2 linked regions of the Mus musculus genome follow. The protein of the gene in region 1 interacts with the protein of each later gene in a biochemical or structural test. Links are inferred from orthologs where the notes say so. Each region holds a gene or a part of one and is shown in the gene's direction. Other genes may lie near its edges. The genes, in order: Stk26 and Cab39.

Region 1 (3,500 bases):
GGCAATTGAAGAACTTGAGAAAAGTATTGCTGTGGCTGAAACCGCCTGTCCTGGCATCACAGATAAGATGGTGAAGAAACTAATCGAAAAATTTCAAAAGTAAGTTTGAAGTGTCATTTTCGGTTGGCATTTTAGATGGTAGTTTCTGATGTAATAAAGTTACTTCGATGCAGCTGTTTCCTACATTTTCCCTGCAAAATCACATTCGGATAGTTGTATGTTTGAAAACAGATTTGTTTCTTGCCAAATTTAAACGTCTTCTTTGACAGAGAGAGAAAGACAGGGCTGGGGGTGCAGGAGAGAAAGAAACGTGGGGAGTTATCTCTCACATGGGCCTGGGAAGGAAAGACGTCAACATTGGGATTGTTCCTCTATTTCTCTCCCCCTTATTTTTTGAGGCAGGGCCTCTCATTGAACCTGCAGCCTGCCCTGTTTAGTGATTGCCCAGAAAGAATATTCTTCTCTGCCCTCCAGTGCTGAAGTTCTATGGGCTCAGTTCCACCTGACCCGAACATGGATGCTAGAGATTTGAATTCAGGCTCTTGTGCTTGTACTTCAAGGACTTTCCCCACTGAGCCACGCCCCCCCAACCCAACTTTAGCTTTTGGAATGACTATATTTAGATATGGGAAGGTAGTTTTCTACTGAACCAAACAGCCCAGGTTTTGCCCTGTCTTTCCCTGTTAGGATGAAATGAGAGAAAATGTCACTGAGTATGTTCTTATTTGGGCACATGAACCATTACCCTCATTTTCACTCTTGACAGTACTCTTAGCCTTTGCAGAAAGACCACTATTCTCATCATTGCCATAGCAAAATTTCTCCATTTGAACCCTTCTGAAATGCTGGTTAAAAGATTTAGGGAAAACAGTTGAGACAAGAATAGAGCCATTTGATTGCATTTAGTTTCTGTCTTGTCTTCTATTACTTTGATTTGGCTCACAAAGTTCTTACATTTGATTTGAAATTTCTTTTCTTAAACAACACTTCCGTATGTATGCATTCATACTCATTAGCTTAAGCGAGTTCTAACATGGTTGTACAGCATTTAACTTTAAACCCATTGTATCCCCTCTTGTCCCATCTTTTGATTTCCTTAGCCAGCTAAGCTCACGGTGAAAATAAATACGTGACCTATAAAATCCCTCTTAATTATCTTTGCATCCAGTAAAGCCTACTCAGGACTCTGGTGCTAAACCATGCTTAAAATCCTCCAGTTCTCTTCTTATTTGCAAACAAAGCCAAGTTGTAAGTTGTGAAATCAGACACAAAGGAATTTTTAACCGTTCTTTTACATTGTTTAACACATCCATCTATGTAAGATTTAATGGAAATAATGTGGCTTCTTCATACATTGTACAGTTCATGAGTAAGAAATATAGATGACTTTTATAATTATACATTGAATTATATTGTCTTAATTTTGTAGGTGTTCTGCGGATGAATCCCCTTAAGAAATCTGTTGTCATTACTTTTGGCTTCTGTTTCATGTGGACCAGGAGAAACCCACCAAAGCTATGTCAACCTTATAAATGCTTAACTCATGAGCTCCATGTGCCTTTTGGATCTTTGCCACATTGAAGATTTAGAGGAAGCTATTAAACTATTTTGTGATGGTGATTATCATTTTGTATTTTAAAGAGATTATTTTGTAAGGAATAATTTTAATACTATAGTTTTGCCGGTATTGTAGTAAATGCTGAGATACAGGTTTTTTGTTTTTTGTTTTTTAATTTTAGGTACCATTATTTCTTATGTTCATGGAATGAATACTGTTTGGTTTGGAATCTTTAGTTAACTGTATACTCATAAACATACAGGTCTTTCAAAGTCATCCTAACTATTAAATGTTTGTAAATCATCAAGCTTCAAAAAGCATTCTTTTTCCCCCACACAAGTATATTCTAAAAATGACTATTTGTAATGAGGTGGAAGTAAGTAATACCTTCTTAAAACAAGTGTTTTTAAGAAGCTCTTGAAAAAAAAGAAAACCACCTAGACCTAGAAAGTATTGACTTTCCTAGCAAGTTGTTCTGAATTCAGGCAGCCCCATGTCTAGCACCTTGGAGAACCTTGTGTTTGAAGCACTTCCATGCAACATGTAACAGCAGAAGTACCTCTTGGTGTATTTATCTTCTCTTTCAGATGGAAGAAGCAATTAACCCTTATTTAACATTTAAAGTAATCTCATTTAGCCGAGAATGGTGGAGTTGGTCTGGCTTCAGTCTTTAAATCTTCAGCTCAAATCACATATTACATGCTTGGATTTAGAAAACTTTTAACAACCTTTTTGTCTTGTGATTAAATACCTGATCAATAGGTATGAGCGTAACTTTAAACCAGCATTTATTTTGTCGTGGCAATGCATTTTTGTAGAAACTATTTATACATTTTTGTTTATAATTATCCACTCATAAGTATAGTGTGTTCAATTCTGAAGGGGTATTTAAATGAACATTGTCCAACTCATAGGAAGATACCATAGAGCAGGATCATTTCTTGTCATATAAAAGTAAGATAGACTGTGCAGTTAATTTTCAGTTCTATTTATGGTACTGTTAAGTGAGTTATAGCCTTTTTTAGCCATATATATATATATATATATATATATACTATGTTTGCCTAAGTGCTAAACTAGGTCTAATGTAGAATTGTTGGTACTGATTAATTTTGACAGTTATGATTTTAATGTTTGCATCTTCACATTTGAGCTTAGCACGAAACATTTTAAAATATCTGTGTAACTGCCAAATGTGAAAAGGAAAGACATTGTACAAGTAGCCAATGCAGTTTTTAATTGAAATGTCAATTACATCCCTTCTTTTAAAAAAGAAATACAAACATTTGAAAGGCAGAACATTGTATGCCAAGAAAATTCTTTTCATTGGTGCCTATCCTGTACCTGTTGCTTTGAGTTGACTGTACCTTGAATTGATGACTTGGTTAGATTTTTAGTTTTTTTGTCCATGCTGTAAATGACACTCAATCGCAGTTTGTTCTCCATAGTGCTCTAAAAATAATTGTGTGACTTGAATAATGGGTGACATTCATATTTTTGTGAAAGTAAAAACAAGTTCATAAATTGATTATGGAAAACTGTACCACACGCCTGCATCCCAAATACAGCTGGTATTGCTTACTCATTATAGCGTTAGTTCTGTAGACCTGTTTCTATGTGAAGCATATGTCACTGTTTGGGGGATTTTAAAAATAAATATTTAAATTTTATGATCCTCGATGTTTGTTTTCTTGAGGGTGGGTCTGATATGTTATTCTAATTAATTTATAATAGTTCTTTTTTATTATTGGAACATAACCAAGGCTTCCATTGAAACTAAAAGTTACTAAGAATTGACTGTATTTATATAGCTGAAGATATATATCCTGATTTCTTCCTCCTACCATAAAACTCTTAATAGTACTTTTAAAAGTGTCTTCAGATGGCTAATTTAACGATCCCCTTAATTACTATTTTAATAAAAGATCATATACAGATTTAA
Region 2 (6,891 bases), on another chromosome or scaffold:
ACTGCTTCTTCACTCCCTATGTTCTCCAGGAAGCTGTTGCAGTTCCCAGCAGGTTCTCCTCAGGCCTCCTGCCTCTTACCCTTCTTTAGATTGCTGATTAGTCTTGCTTTCCTGGATTTCCTCCCGGCTTCTGATTGCTCCCAGATAATGCCCATCTAAGTAAATAGCTCTACCATCCAAACAGTTTCCCAGATCAAAGCCAGTTCTCTTCCCGGAGTCTTCCTTCTCTCTTATCTCCATTACATAGTTCCCTCTACAAATATCAATCAGATTCACGTTGACTCTGGAGGAGGTGCACTGTGGCCGACCCTAGCTCAGACCCTATTACCTCTTGCCTGACTTGAGAGTAGCCTCTTGCTGGTCTCACTGTCTGTATCCTGGCCCTCCTGTGGTTCCATGTATGTCTGATTAGAGAGGTGTTCTGCATTCCGAAGTACACATCTGAATGCGGTGTTGGACGACAGCTCTGTGGCACGGTGCTTGTCCAGCAGGGACAATGCTTTGGGTTTGGATTTCACCCTGAGCTCTGCACTGGGGGTGAGGGTGGGGGTGGAGTGACAAACAACAAAAACCAAACACTTGTGCACGCAGCATTCAATGACAAAGTTTCAATGTGTACCTACCCACCCTCCCAGAGCATCCATGCTGAAGTCCAGGCTCCTTAGCACTGGAGGACATAGGTTTTCAATGATTACAGCTTTGCTTATCTTTCCAATTTTATCTATTCCCTTCCTCCCTACCCCCAAGTCGCTTCACATACAGAAGTCCTTGCACATAGGCCGGTCCTCTAACTCACCATGCTTTTTGTGCTTCTTTCATGTTTCTCCTTAAACATGAACCCCATTATTCAACGTCCTAGGTCTCTTACAGGCTTCCTGCCTCCCTCTCCTGTAATTGCCCATTCGTGCCTGTGTCTTTCCTGGACGCTGAGGGGAGCTACCTATCAGCCAGTGCTTCGCTGCCATAATTCGAGGTCCTAGTTTACTCTCAAGAAGCACCTGCCAAATAAACAAATTTCTAATGAGATTTGGAGCAGGTTTGGTGAGTCTGAGGGTGTGGACTGGTGGGTGGATGGGAAGGGAGGCAAACAGGAGTGCTGGAGAGTTCAAACTTCAAGAGCAGAGCCATGGTGGAAACTGCAGTGTCCAGGGTGGGGCTAGCCTAGTGGCTGCTGACGTACAGTGGATGTGAAGGTCATTGGGATAGCACAGTAAAGGGACCGTATCCAATAGGGTGAGCTGCAATGATACAGCCAGGTGAATGAAGGCACTGGGTGGGGTGGGAGGGAAGCCATGAGTCAGGCTCCAAAGTCCTTTCCTAGAGGGTCTAATTAAGGGAGGGAAGTGCCTCCATCCGGTGGCCCAGCATCAGCAAGGAAGAGGAAGAGACGGCATGATGGGAGATTTACACAGGACCAGCACAGGCTCTAGGGAGACAATAACAGCAACAGCCCAGGCAAGCACAGAACCCAGTGTTCTGTGGCCACCACACAGGAAAACAAAGGCCCCCTGAGAATGTTTCAAAATGAAGATGCAGAACTTTCCAGAAAGTGGCATGGCCCGAGAAATAGTTTAGTAGAAACAGCTTTCCAGAGCCCTCCCGTCCCCAATAGAAGAATATGGAAAATAGCCCGATTCTGTAAGAGGCCATCAAAAGCTGTCTGGCATCTTCTCTCTGTAACTGTGGGTAGAAGGTAGGTGCAGCCTTTGGCCCTTTGCAAGGGAAATTTCACCAGTCTGGCTAGTTTCCCTAGAAGTGTTCAACATGTCCAAGATGAACTATGCTTGGTTGAATGGATTTTAAGTGTTAATATGCTAATGGTTTTGTTTGCTTGTTTCTTGACACCACATATCTGTCTGGTCACTGCATATCACCGAGAATGACCTTGAATTCTTCATTTTCCCCCCACCACTCCCAAGGGCTAGGGTTATAGGTGTGCACTACTACTATACCTGACTGACACATGCTTGAGCACACAGACACATACATATACGAACAAGATCACACAAATTAAAGGGGGTGGTGTGTTGAGACAAGATCTTGCCATGTGGCGCTAGAAACCTGGAACTCACTACTTAGATCAGGTTGGCTTCAAATTTACAGTCTTTGCTTTGCTAGAACTAGGATTATAGTGTAACAGGTTTCCAGACCTTAGCACAACAGATGCCATGATGAAAGTACCATTCAGGTCCTGAGACCCAGGATAGAGGCAGCAATACCTGCCAAAAACAAGAGAGAACAAAGACCTAATCCATCAAAGTCCATAGTTCCGGGAAAGTCCATAAAGGAACTAATCTTGCTTTTTGGCTTTTGTAGTTCTGCAACTAGACTGGATGACTGTTCTTGCTAACCGAGGTGTGACAAGCCAGGATATGGTTTTGTGTGTGTGTGTGTACTTAAAAAGGGGGGCGGGGAGAGCCATTGAGTTGTAAAATAAATAAATAAATAAACAAACAAACTCACCTGAGAAAGGCTCAGGACTATACTTGAACCCCAAACACCCAGAGTAGTCACTGGCTGGTAATAGAGACTTTCTATCGGCTTGAGCCCATGTCTGAGTGATCTTCTCTATTGTTATGGATACTTCATACGTGTTATCTTCTCTATCTCCCTCATCTTTGTCTCAGCTTTCTTTGTGTGCATACAAACTACCCACGACTGAATCCAGAATCTACCATAATTATAGTATAGCCTGAGCTATACCCCCGAGCCCTACTATAGGGTGTCAGCAACCCCCGTCTACTGTATTTGTGGAATTCCTCCGGCCCTTCACTCTGATCTTCATATCGCAGTAACAGTGATTACGACTTTTTTTTTTTGAGACAGGGTTTCTCTGTGTAGCCTTGGCTGTCCTGGAACTCACTGTGTAGACCAGGCTGGCCTCAAACTCAGAAATTCGCCTGCCTCTGATCACGACCTTTTTAAAACGCCAAAGCCTGGCCCTTTCCTGCTCCAAATCCTATGGATAGCTTGCTTCTCTCAAGTATTGAAGTTCTCACAGGAGGCTCACATCGCCTTGCTTCCTTCAGGAAACCACTTCCTTAGCACACTGTAGCTGTCCAAAATCCTGTCCCATTGTTAAGCATATAGCAAAGGAGCACACATGTAGCATTTTTGAGTTCCAGACTCTGTCATTAGATCTCTGTAATGCATTATTTTATTCCTCTGGGTGTGTGTTCATGGCACTTGTTTCTCTCTCTCTCTCTCTCTCTCTCTCTCTCTCTCTCTCTCTCTCTCTCTCTCTCTCTCTCTCTCTCTCTCTCTCTCTCTCTCTCTCTCTCTCTCTCTCTTTCTTTCTTTCTTTCTTCATGGAACTTGCTTCCCTATCTATCTATAGGCAGAGTTTTTCACACAGCCCGGGCTGACCTAAACCTGTGAAGTCTAGGATGACCTTGAACTCCTAATTCTCTTGAGTTCACCTCCCAGTGTTGGGATTACAGGCATGCACCACTAAAATCCACTTTGGAAAAAGTAGGATATGTACCCTTGTTGGATCTTGTTTCTTTGGAATATTTCATCACTTTTTTTCCCCTGTCAGGAGATGCCAAAGTGAAGTTACAGGTTCTGCCCAAGCATGAAAGAACCCATTTGAACAGTTTTGAGCCCTCCGCAGATGTAAAGTTTTAAGACTTGAGGAAGTGGACTGTGTTCCTCCAGGAACTAGCAAGTAAGGGGCGCATAGACGACGACTCCAGCTCCCCTTCTGCTTTTTCTCAGTGCCCCCAGCTCTTCAACTTGCCGGCGACTCAGGCGTCCCGAGTCCGCCCGGCCGTCCGGGGGCGCCCGAGTACGCAGAGGGCGTTGCGGCGCCGCCCGACGTCCCGCCTTCGGCGGCTGCGCAGTGCGCACGTCAAAGCCGGGCTCAGGCCGGAGCTGGGCGCGGGGCGCCAGGAGCCGCGCGGCCTGAGAGAGTCTGGGGCTTCAGTAGCCGCGCGAAGGCTGAGACAACCTCAGAGGCGAAGGCAGTGCGGGACCTCACGGCCACAGCCGCAGCCCTACCGAGCGCAGCACCGCGGCGGCCACAGCAGGAACCCCTGGGCCACCGTCCGCCCGCGCAGCCGCCGCCGCCGCCGCGGGAGCCCGTCGCCCGGAGCAGCTGCGGGCGGAGGACAACGGAGGGCCGGAGCGTCCGAGCCGCGCCGCGGGGACCGAGCGAGCAGCCCGAGGCGGCGGCGGCCGAGGACGGGGACGGAGACGAAGCAGAGAGGGAGCTCCCTGGCCCGGCCCAGCCCGGTGAGTGATCCCCCGGCCCGGCCCTGCTCGCGACGCGGACGCCCGCCGGCTTCCGCCCGACCCGCCTCCATTTTCCCGGGTGGCGGCGGCGGGAGCGGCCCGGAGCAGCCGGAGCTCCGGGCGCCGCCCTTGTCCTCGCCCGTACTAGGCTCCGGGGGCCTGCCGGCCGGGGCTACAACTAACCGGGGTAGAGCTGGCCCGGCCAGCTGTCACTCCCGCCGCTCCGGGGACTCCGAGCACCTAGCCCTGGGCTCCGCGTAGCCTCACTGTTAGCGGGACGCTGACACTATCTTTGTAGGGGACCTTTCAGGAAAATGCCTAACTGATTTCTGGCTAGGAATTGTGCGTTCGGCGCGTTCCCGGGTTCGGTTGGAGCAATCCAAAACGCCGACTGCGTGCCGGTGCCGGAGCGACTCCGAGGTGAACCCGGCCGGGAGGTGCCCTCCCCTGGGGAGCTTTAACGCGGTGATGTGAGAGATAAGACGAGTACACAAATAGCTAAGATACCAGGCAGGAGGGGGATAGATAAGTTCCGTTTAGGAACTACCAATTGCTAGAAAGGTGCTCCGGGGTGACTGGACCTGTCGATCGTTTCCGCCTTCCCACGAACCTGGGAGGCTTCCTGGGCGAGGCGGTGCTAAACCGGGTCTAGAAGACTCGATTGGATTCGGGAGAAGGGGGTTGCAGTGGAGAAGGGCGTGGAGGGGCAACAAAGCTGGAGGACAAAGGTACAAAGAGCATGCGAATGTTGCCAATTCCATCACCGGGTGCCGTGATAGGTGGGGTAGACTAAAGAGGCATTTGGAGTCAGATCTTTGAATGCTGTAGAGGAGCTGTTTGAACGACCTTCCACGGAAAACTTAGAACTCATTTTTCAGTGACTCATGAGGCCGGAAATGTATGCTAGGGCATATTAAAGGCGCTCTTGAGAAAGACAGGCGAGCAGAGAAGGCCACAGTCAGGACTTAGCATTGTTTCCTAAATATAATGCAGTTTGAGGTCGATTTTGACAGCTTCCGGGATATTTAAGTAAATCTATGTCCAAGCCAAGGAAAATACCTTTTGTAGAAAGTGTCACTAGATGCGTGCTTATCTGAAGTAATTAAAAGAGGTGCCTAAATTAACCTTCTCTACACACAAGGCATTTGCGTTGGTGAGTTCTCTAAAATTGCATCAGAACTTCTGGATCCCTGTGTTGGAATTGAACATTAAACTGTAGATTTATAAAAAAAAAAATAGTAATAAGAACTGAACTGTTAACAGTCTAGACAGACAGTTGGACACACACCATTTTTCTGGAAAAGTAAAAAATTTCTTGTTAATTTTTAGTTATGAAAATATTGGAGAGCCAGAAGTGAAAGTTTTTAAGCTCTATTTTACAGGTTTAAAAAAATTAGCAAGTAATTAGTAACTACTAAATGCTTACAATATATGATTTGTAAGAATTGCCTTAGAACTTACTATTGGTTTTGTAAGTGCTTATATGTACAAGGAAATCATACTTTTTTTCAGTCTTACATTTTTCTTTATCAAAGTAAGATCTAGCTGCTGCTGCTGCTGCTGCTGGTGGTGGTGGTGGTGAACGCTTTTAGCCTCTGCACTTTGGAGACGGAGGAGGGCCAGGCCAGGCCAGGCCAGCCGGCTAGATCACAGTAAGAGACTTTGTCTTTTTATTCTAATTTTTGTTTCTTAAAGTAAGACATACTCTTTGAAACATGGAAGCAGTAGTCCATCTCTCCTTTCTCCCCCACCCCATCCCCATCTTTTGAAACAGTGTAGCTCAGGTCTTCCAACCTGTCATCCTCCTGCATTGGGTTTCTAAGTGCTAGAATTACAAAATAGACTGGGAATTTTTTTTCTTTAAGTTTTCTTAATCTTATCACTTAGATTTTGTTTCTGTAAACATTTTTGCATATTTCCTTTCTGATCTTTTTCTGTGTATATTTTCCTAAAAATATATTAAGTACATTTATTTATATATTTGTTTATTTATTGGCATTTTGAAACAACCTCTTACTCTGGCCCAAGTTGTCCTGGAATTTGCTGTGGAGGCCAAGCTAGCTTTAAAATTCCAGATAGTTCTCCCGACTCAGCCTCCTAAGGGCTGGGCATGAACCAATAGAACCAGTCTGAAAGTTTTCTTAAATGTTTTATTAGGCTTTTACCTGTCAAGGTTGCATTGTTCCCTTAAGGCTTCTTGTTAGAAGTCTGTTTATTAGCTTCTCATCAAGGTTTGGTCCTGACTGCTGCTTATTGAATGTATTTTGGTTGGTAGAATACATTTATGTGATCGCCAGGAGTGGAGACGGGCACACAGACCTCTGCTATGTGAGCAGGAGTACTTTTAGTAGGCCACTGAGGGGCTGGAGAGGTTAAGAGTGTGACCTGCTCTTGCAGAGGACCTGAGTTCTGCTGTTGTTGGGTTCCCAGCATCCAGTTTGGTTCACAACTTCCTGTACAGCCCCGGCTCTATACACTCCTGTCCTCCACTGACACCTGAACTCATGTTCCCATACCCACATGTGTACACAATTTAAAAAGAAAATTAAAGAAGGACATGATAAAAAGAATATATTCATGGCCAATATAATCTGTTGTGGCCCCACCTACCCTTTGTTCTACTACTAAAAAATAGTCTATACTAGGGCTGACTACAGA

The links.
Region 2: the proteins of Stk26 (region 1) and Cab39 are reported together in a solved structure, tested with the Homo sapiens proteins (2 studies listed by IntAct, with this or other methods). The link is inferred for Mus musculus from reciprocal best matches to the Homo sapiens genes STK26 and CAB39.

The regions. Positions count from the first base shown.
Region 1 is NC_000086.7:50,889,871-50,893,370, forward strand, and holds the end of Stk26 (serine/threonine-protein kinase 26), read left to right. Parts: coding exon 1-99; intron 100-1,429; coding exon 1,430-1,454; 3' UTR 1,455-3,228; downstream 3,229-3,500. UniProt on the Homo sapiens protein: Serine/threonine-protein kinase that acts as a mediator of cell growth. Modulates apoptosis. In association with STK24 negatively regulates Golgi reorientation in polarized cell migration upon RHO activation.
Region 2 is NC_000067.6:85,789,589-85,796,479, forward strand, and holds the start of Cab39 (calcium-binding protein 39), read left to right. Parts: upstream 1-3,852; 5' UTR 3,853-4,233; intron 4,234-4,300; exon of another isoform or gene 4,301-5,386; intron 5,387-5,768; exon of another isoform or gene 5,769-5,885; intron 5,886-6,891. UniProt on the Homo sapiens protein: Component of a complex that binds and activates STK11/LKB1. In the complex, required to stabilize the interaction between CAB39/MO25 (CAB39/MO25alpha or CAB39L/MO25beta) and STK11/LKB1.